3 linked regions of the Drosophila melanogaster genome follow. The protein of the gene in region 1 interacts with the protein of each later gene in a pairwise test. Each region holds a gene or a part of one and is shown on either strand. Other genes may lie near its edges.

Region 1 (3,759 bases):
GAAGTTGGAGCGAAAAGTCAATGGGCGGGGGAGTTGCCTCCATAAATCTCTTTCCGAATGCAAATGTTGCGTCAGCGTGGCATCTTCACGTTTTCCTACCCCATTTGTTGTGCCTCTGTTTGGCTTTGTTGATGCTTTTCTCACTTTTTAGTTGCTCGATTCCCCGGAAGTCTTTTTTTCTTTTTCTGGAGCGAATCGAAGAGCAGCAGCTGCCAACTCGAACTTTCTCTGAAGATCCCGGGAATTCGTGATCATTTCCATGCGCCTATTAATTCATCATTGAATTATTGCCCTTTTTCCCGGTATCCGTATCCCTTCAACAATTTCCTTTGCATTTGTTTACGGAATGACTATTTGGGGATTTATTCAAGCCGGCGTCTGACTGTGCATACAAATGATACCAAAGGGGTCGCGCTATTTTTGGGGCAACTCCATCCACCAAACTCTGGATGTTGATGGATTGAAATATCTGAGGATTAACACACATTATGTTTATGAAATGTTCAAAAGGATTTGTCAGGGCCGTGATTTATGTCAAATGGTTATGTTTTTCATACGGAGCCGCGACACAAGCCATTAGAAAGGATGGAAAATGGGAATTATTGAGGGAAAGAGTCCGTCTGATCATTGACACGAGCCATTAGACCTCAAGACGCGTAAGATGATGATGACGATGGGGTGGGTGTGCTTCGTTACGGAGGGATTATATCAATGAATCGTGAAGCCCCATTAATCTTATTAAGAGCTCGGAATGAAATGTTTTTCGAGACGCCATTTAAATTGTTTTGGTAAGATGTTTCCTCGGTAATTATGGATTGTGGAGGATTATAAATTAATTTAGAGCCGTCAAGATCGGATACCGACATATTTTAAAAGTTTTCAAATTAAGCTCTTATATCTTTTATCTTCTACTTTTCACAAATAACTCAGATTTCAATTGCTACGGCATTAGCGTTTTTCAATAAACTTTTTGGCCAAAATCTTTACATTTGTATAAAACTAAATAAATATGCATGTAAATTGTTTTATTCAATTATAATCACATTTTAATCTTTCAAGTTTGAAGTGTCCATATTCACTTGTTAAATTATTAAAGTTGGCAGACAAATTTGACTTCATTTACAATTCATCGATTTGTTTTCAACTGCTCTTCCTCTTCTACAAATCCCCGAGGTCCTTCACACGAATTTGTAATCTTACCTTTTTCAATTCTCGCAAACACTGTGTAAAATGTGTGTTGCTTTTTTCGAACTTGTTGAAATGTGGCAATTGGGAATAATCCGTTGGTCCTTGAAAACAGCGGGTGGCGTAAATGAACCCGATGTCCTTCCTGCAGGACACTTAGGTGTGTATAACAAACGCACAGATTTTTTGATTTGTTGCGGTTTTTTCTTTTCTCCGCTCCTTCGGCACAGAGCAAAACAAAATGCACAAAAGTAGTTGCGGTGTTTTTGTTAGATTTGTGTAAATATATTTCTTGCACTTAATACAACATACGATGCACAATAGGAATATAAAAAGTTATTCCTTGTTTGCGCCGAATTTGATTTTGTTTTCTTTTGGTCGCGTCTGTGCGGCGAGAGTGTGTGTGTGTGTGCGATGCGAAAGCGAGCACAACCGGAGCGAGGGAAAACGCGTGCGGCTTCCAAAACAGAACAAAACTGACTGACGCCGTTTCGATGTCATGCAATTCATGCGGCTTCGAAACGGTTAACAGAGTCTTAACAGCAACTGTTAATGTTAATTTTCTTGGATTTGTTTTTATTCGGGGAACTGGAAGTGGAACGTGTTTTCGGCGAGAACATGTTTCTCTCTTGAAAAAAAGAAAAAACATAATTTAAGATATAACTTGTAAGTTTATAATAGTATACAAATTATGTCAAGCAACAGTGATTAGCATTGAAAACACCTACACAACGAATTGTTGTAATATTTTATAAGTAATTTAATTAAACTTATTAGACATGATCATAATTCATGTTTATGATTTAGTTCGAACTGGACCACTGTGCACTGGAACTGGAAGCAGCCGGCATTGTAAATTTATAAATCATAGGGGTGGCTGGAAAGCAGCAGTAAAAGTAGCGGCTTTGTTTTCCTGTACAGTAAGTGCAAAATGTTCGATGGTGATTTTATGAAAAAGGTATTGTAGTTTTGGTAAAGCGTTTATTGTTAGTGAAACAAGACACCTCAGATATTATGATCAGATCAGATACTTTATAGAACATGTAGGAGAACATAGGGTAAAATTGTTATAAATTGTTCAAGTCAACACCCAAAACCCAAAGTAGAGGTATTACGTAGTCTACAGCTCTTTATAAATATAAAACTTAAAGTTATTAAAAATTTCTGAGTTGTACATGCTTCAAATAGAAGTAGATGCCGATCTCCCTATATTTCTTTGTTATTAATTTTTCTTAAAAAGAGAGGGAAGCTGGCAAGGGGAAGGGAAAGAAGTTTGTTGATATGGCACTTTTGTTTGAGTAAAGGTTTTGATTTCGGTTTTTGAAACTCGTTTTCAAATGCTTATCAACTGGCGGCAAGTGTTGAAGCGCAGTTTATGCCGATGGGAACATCTGGCATATGTAGGGAAATTCCACGTCCTGATGCGTCATTACAGCACAAACCCTTACCCTTGGCTACCTCCAACCCAACACCCCTTTTCGCATAGGGTTTCATATCCCTACCCCTGAGAAAATTCACTTATTTGGTAAGAAAGACAAAATATAATGATTCTTTCAATCAACTTTTGCGCAATGAAAACTATAAAGAAGATTTTAATGCATTTATTTTGAGCGATACGCAAATCAACAGAATGATTCATCCACAGTTATGAGAAAAACATACGTTGTTGCAGTTTATTTAATAAAGGGCACTCCCCCAGTATTATACTTTCAATTACTATATAGTATGTGCTCTATTTTATAAAAATGTTACGCTTATGATTTATGAGTAATCAACTAATGTAGGAGATATGTCTTCAGACAATTAGGCTACCCATTTAACTAAAGTGTTTGGTAAATATTTTTCAATATTTCAATATTTTCATTGTATACCTATGTATGTACATAGTTTAATATTTATATTGAACTTGTGTCGGTTGAATTATTAGAACAGAAGCCATGACGACACGTGCTAGAAATGTATTAGAAGTCGATTCCCCTGTTCTTCCAAAGGTATTACCCCACGGAATTCCTACCCACATGTCAACAACTTTCACGCCCCGAACTATGAGGGTTCCCTATTTCATTGTGGAGCTACTGAAGCATTTCATTAGACATGATGTTAGGCGACATCTGCTACCGAAAAAAAGGAATAAATATGGTAGGAAACTAGAAAATAAAAGTGAAGGTTGGCTCGAGTTACATACGTATTTGAGTTTGACGCATGCCCGTCACGTCGAAGGGGAAGGATCAAAATGATCGCATCGGATCATTATCATGATCGCAAATGGTAACGAGGAAACCCGCAAAATGTGGGACGCCCAAGGAAAGGAAGTGGAGTAGTGAACACATGTTCCTGTCTTGTGTGGGTTGTTCTTCGGATGGAATAATTAACAAGTTTAATTTAAATTTGAACCGGAAACGTGTGGAAACCGAAAACGAAGACTTCAAGAAATTCGAGGGAGTTCTGTTCTCTGCACCACTAACCCCACGATATGTAATTCAATCAAGCAATGATTCGGTTTCAATATGCCAAGCAAAACCTCGAAAAGCCGCTTAATGTTTGAGCTCAATTATATGGCTTTTTGTTTTTGGG
Region 2 (3,759 bases), on another chromosome or scaffold:
GAATTAATTACTTTGCGTGCCCAGCAGCAACATGATGCCATATTGTATCGGACACGCTCAATTAAATATATAATTCACCTCCTCTTAGAGTTATTTTGTACACAGATCAAATGTATCATCCCCAAAAAACTGAATTAAATAACCCTCATTGGCGCAGCTAAATGAAATATTTCACACAAATATATTTTAAGTAAATCTCCTTAAGAACATATTGTTTAATTAAAAAAAAACAACAGCTATCTATCTGCTGAGATAATTGGTTACGAATTCATAATTTTGACCTTGATGCTTATGGTATTTACACAAATAAAACGACAATGTATTATAAATAATCCTGTTTTTATTAATAGTTTTTGAAGGGATGCAGCATTTCCTACATATTTGATATGCGCACTGTATAGTATTTGCCATTTTCATGATTCATAAAAAAATTTCACAGCCAAACCTACGATAGCGTAATCTATTGAAACCAAAATATAAGTATAGAAAAAGTATCTGCACCTATTATCTGCATTCCAAGGTATCCATTAAAGTCAAAGTTTTGCTTATCAATTAACTTCTATCCGATTTCTAGTGACCCTAAGGATATATTATTTTGACTTCCTTTTAGTTGAAGAAATTTTGGATTGATACCTTCTATTCTGGCGTTGAACTTATAGGATTCCCTAGTTGGGTGTGGGAAAGATTTTCGAAACACCACACTTGCAGAACATTTGTTTAATTGATTCGGTAATAGATGTAATTACAGCGATTAGGGCGAATCAATTGCAGGTCGTAATTGCAACCTACAGAGCAATGTTGGAAATGCACTGGAGGCATTTCACCCAGTGGCCGTCAGGGGCTCAATTGAACTTGGCATTCCCGAAGTGCGCCAGATGTTTCTTTCCGATGATGCGTGCCCATATGGGATCCGCACAAACATTTCCATTCTTAACGGCGCGGGCACTTTGCCTTTTGCCTACGCGCCGCACTGAGCGTCGCCATTCCACGGACGAACTTGCTCCGTCAATAGTTTGCCTTATCAATGCTGATAGGAAAGCCTGTAAGCGCGGGGATTTGGTTTGGATGAGAGGGAGTAGACGGCTCGTTTGTCAAAGTGGCAAGTGGTAAGTCCCCAAACGGGGTGCCACGTTAGGATTGAGGGTGGAGCAGGTGCTCTGACTCAACCCCGGGCTGGGGCTGCGTCACATTGATTAATAGTGTCTATCTGACACATAGACACATATGCGGGATAGGCTGGGCACTGTCTGCCCGACCTCTAGCACCTATGGTCTGGTCTGTCCATTGGCGGAGCCATCAAACGAAGCCCAACACTCGTGTTTACACGCGGCTAATGGCGTTTGTTCGGGGAGTGATAGTGGCAAGCAAAGCTTTATCTATCCGGGTTAGCAGTGCCCCGAAAACCTGTGGATCGGATACCGGGCTGGGTCGGATGATATCTTATCGCGGGCGATGACAAAGTATCGAAGATACATAGTTGGGCTATCGTCCTAAACTATGGGCTAAGCTGCTTGCCACACTTAGTGCTACTTGCACCCAGGCAATTTGCATAATTTCAGACCCTCGGCTACCACGGGATTATTTATTTACCGAATTCGCACTGCTCTGATCAAAACACTGGGCTCTTGACTCCAGACCGGGTTCCCAACTGTCGGCAGAGCCTCTGACCGCACGCAACGCAACGCAACTCACGACTGAACTATGGCCCACCCACCCAACACATCCACATCCGTGGCGTCGACGCCGACGTCGCTGCTCAGTGCTATCTTGTGGGCTCTAGCCGCTGCTAGTTACCGGCACCTCTAGCCCTAACCACTAGCCGTCGGTGCTCCTGACGAAGCGGACCACGCATCGGCTACGATAAGATAAACCCGGACAAGTTCCAGTTGTAGTTCCAGATACAGTGATCCACGAAGTGGGAGGACTGCCGGTAATGATTGTACCGATCCGAACTCTTATCGTCCAATTTGCAAGGCACCGTAAATGTAGCTATCGCTGCGTGTTCCAATATTCTAACAATCCTGACGTAGATCTCGATTGCGTTTAACGAGCTGCGGATAACTATTGCTGGAGCCCTTATCAAGATTCCTATACAAATTGTTCCCAGACGAGTCACCACGAATCGGAACTCTGATTTCGGCAATCGAAAATGAATCACCCATGAACATCGTCCTCGGCGAGCTTCCTCGGTGCTTACCACGATATGGAGGTACTTCTTCGCATGAGTATGTACTCCTATTGGGCACTTGACTCTCGAATCAGTCCTGATGTATGGTATCATTGCCCTCATGTCAAGAAATAATTTTCTACTGCTAATATAAAATCACGTTGGTAACTTATGATGTTTAGATTCCGAGGCACGAAAATGTTCTTTAAGCAAAGGTTTACAGCAATAGGACCTATAAGTTCGAAAAAGTCCTTATATCATAGATCTAATTTTTTAAATTATGACCCTTGTATATTTCCAATCCATTTTAGGATTCATTGTAACCTAAGTATAGTAAAAGTGTGGCATTTTTAGTTCTTACATATGTATATCTTATTTATATATTATCTATATACTTAATACTTAATAAATATGTTAGTTATGAAAACATCCTTTCACAGACATAACTTCTTACGTTTTCTATAGAACATTTATTACTGATACAAATCAAAACCCTATTTAAAATGGTTTTGAGATTTAAAGAGTTTCTCATGCTCATGATATATGTAACATAGCATAGTTAAAATATTAATTTAGTACATTTCATTTGCCAGTAATCGAACCAAAAAAATCTTTTCGAGATCCCAGTTAAGTGCCAGTGATAGTGTGGTTGGTAATGCTTAATCGTCTTTTTGTAGTGAAGTCGATTGAGTGAGCAAAAGTGAAGCCTAACTAACAGGTTTCGATAAGCCACAATAGCTCGGTTCAAGCCACAAAGGTGAATTTGTAAGGCATCTCAATGGGTTAGAAAACCGCGGAGTAACCCAGTTATAGTTTGTATATGTTTGTTAGTATAGCACTGGGTTTAAGTAGACTAATAGATTCGTATAGGGATATATAATATATTGCTAGTTCGCTGGCGAGTTGTGTCCACTTTTCCCTAAGGGGAATGCAAGTCTGTGCCAACAACTTGACGTTTAAGGGCCAAGCCAATCCCCACGGACACCATTTTAGTTATTGTCCATGGCAAGGGACTATATCGAAGAAGTTAATTATACACATGTCATCGCATCAATCGCCTTCAAAGCCACTAATATCATACAGGTCGAATGGGAATCGAATTGATTGGCTTGAGTGCGGGGTCACCTCGATAAGTTTGCTTATAAGTTTGAGCAGGAAGTAATTACTCTCTAATGTGACAACACCCATAACCATATTAATCACGTGTGACACCATAATAGAATAGGTAAGCAATAGAGGATAAAACACCCAGCGCTTTTGAAGGATGGGACATATTTATGCCATGGGAGTCCAGTCTGTGGCCTTTTTCTTGGCATTTCTAGTATACTCATACTAGTCTGTGCCTTAGAACTAGTTTGATTAGAAATGTTCAGCGTATTTTCTTTTCAAAAATGTCCATTTTAATCCCAATGCTTGCAAGTCTTATAAAATACATTATCAAAACAACAAACTTAAATACAAATTCATACAAAATGAAAAATTTCAACATTATCTTTAAAACTGTGGGCGTGGCAGCTTTGGGCGTTATGGTAAGCTTAACAACCAGGGTTATCGAAAATAAGTTTCGTCTATGTCTGTGGAATCTGCATGCT
Region 3 (3,759 bases), on another chromosome or scaffold:
ACGTAGGAGTAGGAGCCGTGCGTGGTGCCGTCATGGCTTCGCGTCTCGTGCTTCTGTGAGTTGGGATCGGCGTATCCGTAGGAGTAGGTGTGGCTGTGCGGGTCCAGGTGCTGGTACTGTGTGGAGACGGCTCCGTGCCAAGAGGCGGACACCGTCGAGATCAGCAACGCTGCGGCAATAAACTAAATAAAAATGGGAAATTATTTTTTGTAATTTTGATGTAGCTGATAAAAAAAACTAACAAATTTCAATATAGCTTTACAGAACTGATTTTTATATATTAAATATATATATAATAATAATTAAAAATCTTTTTGATTTTGCCTATGTTGAATTCCGATTAGAGAACTTTTGTACCTTCATCTCTTTGAATATTTCAAATTATTTAACATATAGCTTCTACATGTTTCTCACAGTGCAGAAGGTGTTAGGCGTGGGATTATGTGACTGCTCAATAATTACTCGTGCGGTAGCCACCGCCCAAAATCGTTAATCGCAGGTGTCACTCAGTGGAAGCTTATAAGCCGCCTCTGCTAACCTAATTACAGGCTTTTCGCTTTTCTTGCTCTTGCGCCAGCGTTTTCCTCTCGCTTTTCTTGCCCCACACGCCCATCTTTTCGCTTTTCTCCTGGACTCGCTTCTCCTCTGGATTCGCTTTTCCAATGGTTTCGCTTTTCAGAGCCGCGAAGCGCAACCGTTAGATTTGATTCCGAGATATGTAGTCAGTAGTCGGTCGGTCGGCCAATATTCGTTCGAAGATATTACCGCATGCGGCGCGATTATGTACGATATTATGTGTCAGCAGGTGAGTGGGGCAGAAAGTGGTGGAAAAACGGTTGAATAAACTGTCCGACATGCAACATGTCAGCGGCTTATCAACGGGATTTCGCACGGAGTTCCATGGCAGCTGATGGTTTGCTGGGTGGTACGTTTAGCATGACGTGCCATGGTAATTGACTCTCGGATGGAACTGAACGATGCACAGGTGCCATTTCGTTCGGAGCGGAATTTAAGCGAAATAAATTGAGTTTACAAAAGCAATGTCAGTTGAATTTTAAATTAATTGCGCTATGACAGATTAAAAGAATGCCAGGAATTCATTCAAACTTAATGGCAAGTCACTGTCAAACTAGTGTTTACTTTTCGAACGGCTGACAAAATCCAATTTAAAGATTTGGTATGCCACACTTCTCTCTTGATACCGATTAACATATCCCAAAGATCGAAAATGAAAAAGCAGTTCTAACTAGCGAAACCTGGCTGTGGACTTACATAGTTCCATTAAACTACGATTTTAATGAACTTAAGCATTTCATGATAGAATCAATCAATTAAATGAACTTTTGCCCACTTTTATGGTAAAATTTTGTAACTTTAAGAAAAATAAATTACATGCAGAGACGTTAATCACTAATTTGTAGAACAGAAAAAGTTAGAAATGTATCTCAGTAATTCAAGCACGGAATCCAAATATCCTTTTCTCCTCACGGTAATCTACACACTCCAACTCATATTATTTATAACTTTAATCCTCTTGCTCGGCGTTATCCTTTCGATCCCATGGCGCATACTTACGAATGGCTTCATTTTAGCTATGATCACACGATTGAGCTTCGAAAAGGAGTTTCGGGGACACACTGCGGATGAACGGAAAACTAACTACACACGACACACGGGCACAGGCACTGGTCGCTGGACGCTGGTTGAACCTCCTAGAACCACGACTAGGACTGTTAACGAACTGTGCTGACTGCTGGCTGGCGGCCCTAATATATACCGCCCGAGACCAGCGAGCCCGGAGACTGGGGATTGGGGAGCAGAGACACTGCAGCCGAGACTCCGGCTGAGACGCCGGCGCATGCGCAACATTGGTAACAGCAGCGAAAACACCGCAACACCAGCAATATCGGGCGTTCAACAAAAGCCAACAAAAGCCAACGAGAGCAAGAGCAGAACAATGTGTGGTACCAGTTCCAGAGTAATCGAATTACCACTTTAATCGGGGCTCGAAGCGGGGTTTGGCCAGAGCCGAAGTGGATATCGCAGCCGAAGAATGTGTATCAATCGCTTGCAGTGGAGTGCCGCTGCAGCATGTTGCTGGCCTGCAGTTGCACTGGCAACATGTTGCTCGTGCGTTTCCGCGCTGCGTTTGTCACTGTGGAAAAAATCACAGCTGCCATGACCTTGCTTTCAACGCGATTTAATTGCCGGTATTGGTTTCAACCTGGCTTCAACATTAGGCGATTAATGTATTTTATTTGGTGTTGTTTCGGGTGCTAGTTCTTTGACTTCCGCGGTGCGGACAATTAGCACTCATTATTTGGCCACGGGATTAGGCCGATCTTATCGATCAGTGCCTTTCCAAAAAACGCCCAAGAGCCCCGCCCCAAGCGCAACGCTCGATCAAATTAAAAAATTCTTACCCACCGCTTGCAACATGCCCCAATGGTGGCCATAACGAAATGTGAGCTGGCCAATTTCTGGGCGTTTGCCTCTTTAATCATTGAACTGCATCGGAAAACGAAACGAAAACTTTGCAAATTAAAAAAAAAGGAGAAACAAGAGCACTGCCCAAAGAAGCAAGCGGAAAACAAAAGACAGCAAAATGGATTTTCTATTCACTTTTGGCCACCGCTGTTGCCACATGTTGCAGCATTTCTTTGCTGTCCGCTAATCTAGATGTTGCACTCCCAAATGCACTCATGCACTCGGAAAATCAAAATTATTTAACTTAGAATGAGCTATCCTTAACTAAGAATAATCCCTAAGAAGAGAAAATGATATTCGTCGAATGCTAGGTGAGTGAACGATTTCGAAAGAAATGCTGTTGTAACTAATTTTTGTATGTATCTTAGTTGAATATCCCAACTTCTTAACAATTATTGAGTATCTTAGTTATTAAAGAGAAGAGATGATTTTTTTTCCCCAAAATGTTATTATTTTTTTATAGCTCAGTTAAACATATAAATATATATATATACATAAAGAAATAAATATAATTTAATGTAATGAATTTCGATTCCGTATCCGAAATCCGATTGCATTTTTTCTGCAAGTGCAGCAGTGAGCCTCTCTTGTCCGTTGCAATATAATGAGTGCTTGCACCCTGGCTAACTTTGATTATTTGCATTCGATAAGCGAAATCGGGAGGGCGGTTGGCTATATGCGCCTATATACTCGTTTATAGTCTATATGGCACACTCCATATTCTTGAGTTCGTATCGGCAACTTAATTTGTTTGCCTTTGCCTGCCACCAATTTAATTTGAATAAACCAAACCAACTTCAAACTGCTCTTTTGAACCCGCATGTGCTGTTGTTGTTGTTTTTATGCGCGGGCGGGCGATCGGTTTGGGGCGTGTTTGACATTTTTGCGGTATGCGCAACATTATAAATTATATTTTTTGCCGGTGCCACTTTTGTTTTCATTTTATTAGCTCGGCCCACTGTCGACAGCTGTGGGCCGACTGCCTGAATGAATGCCTCGACTGGCTCAAGTGCAATCCACACATTTGTGGATTTGTCGAGGTGCCCACCTTCAGCCACCTTCAGCTTCAGCTCCAACCCGACCCGATCCAATCCAGCTCCATTTGCGAACGGCGTCTGTAATTATGGTCTTGGCTCTCAATGCGAACGCTACTGGCCGGGTGTCGGGCATATGAATTCTGATCGGTATCTGGGTGAAAATTAACTAATTACCTGGTAATAACGCGTATTATGCAATCAGAATCAATTTATCTAAATGCATTCCTAATCTAAG

Evidence for each region.
Region 2: the proteins of Nrt (region 1) and Fa2h interact in a two-hybrid assay, tested with the Drosophila melanogaster proteins (one large-scale study listed by BioGRID).
Region 3: the proteins of Nrt (region 1) and Cpr92F interact in a two-hybrid assay, tested with the Drosophila melanogaster proteins (one large-scale study listed by BioGRID).

The regions. Positions count from the first base shown.
Region 1 is NT_037436.4:16,763,982-16,767,740, reverse strand, and holds the start of Nrt (neurotactin), read right to left. Parts: upstream 1,670-3,759; 5' UTR 1,201-1,669; intron 1-1,200. UniProt on the Drosophila melanogaster protein: May mediate or modulate cell adhesion between embryonic cells during development.
Region 2 is NT_033778.4:7,449,856-7,453,614, forward strand, and holds the start of Fa2h (fatty acid 2-hydroxylase), read right to left. Parts: upstream 1,699-3,759; 5' UTR 1,591-1,698; intron 141-1,590; exon of another isoform or gene 1-140.
Region 3 is NT_033777.3:20,667,559-20,671,317, reverse strand, and holds the start of Cpr92F (cuticular protein 92F), read right to left. Parts: upstream 1,748-3,759; 5' UTR 1,588-1,747; coding exon 1,576-1,587; intron 183-1,575; coding exon 1-182.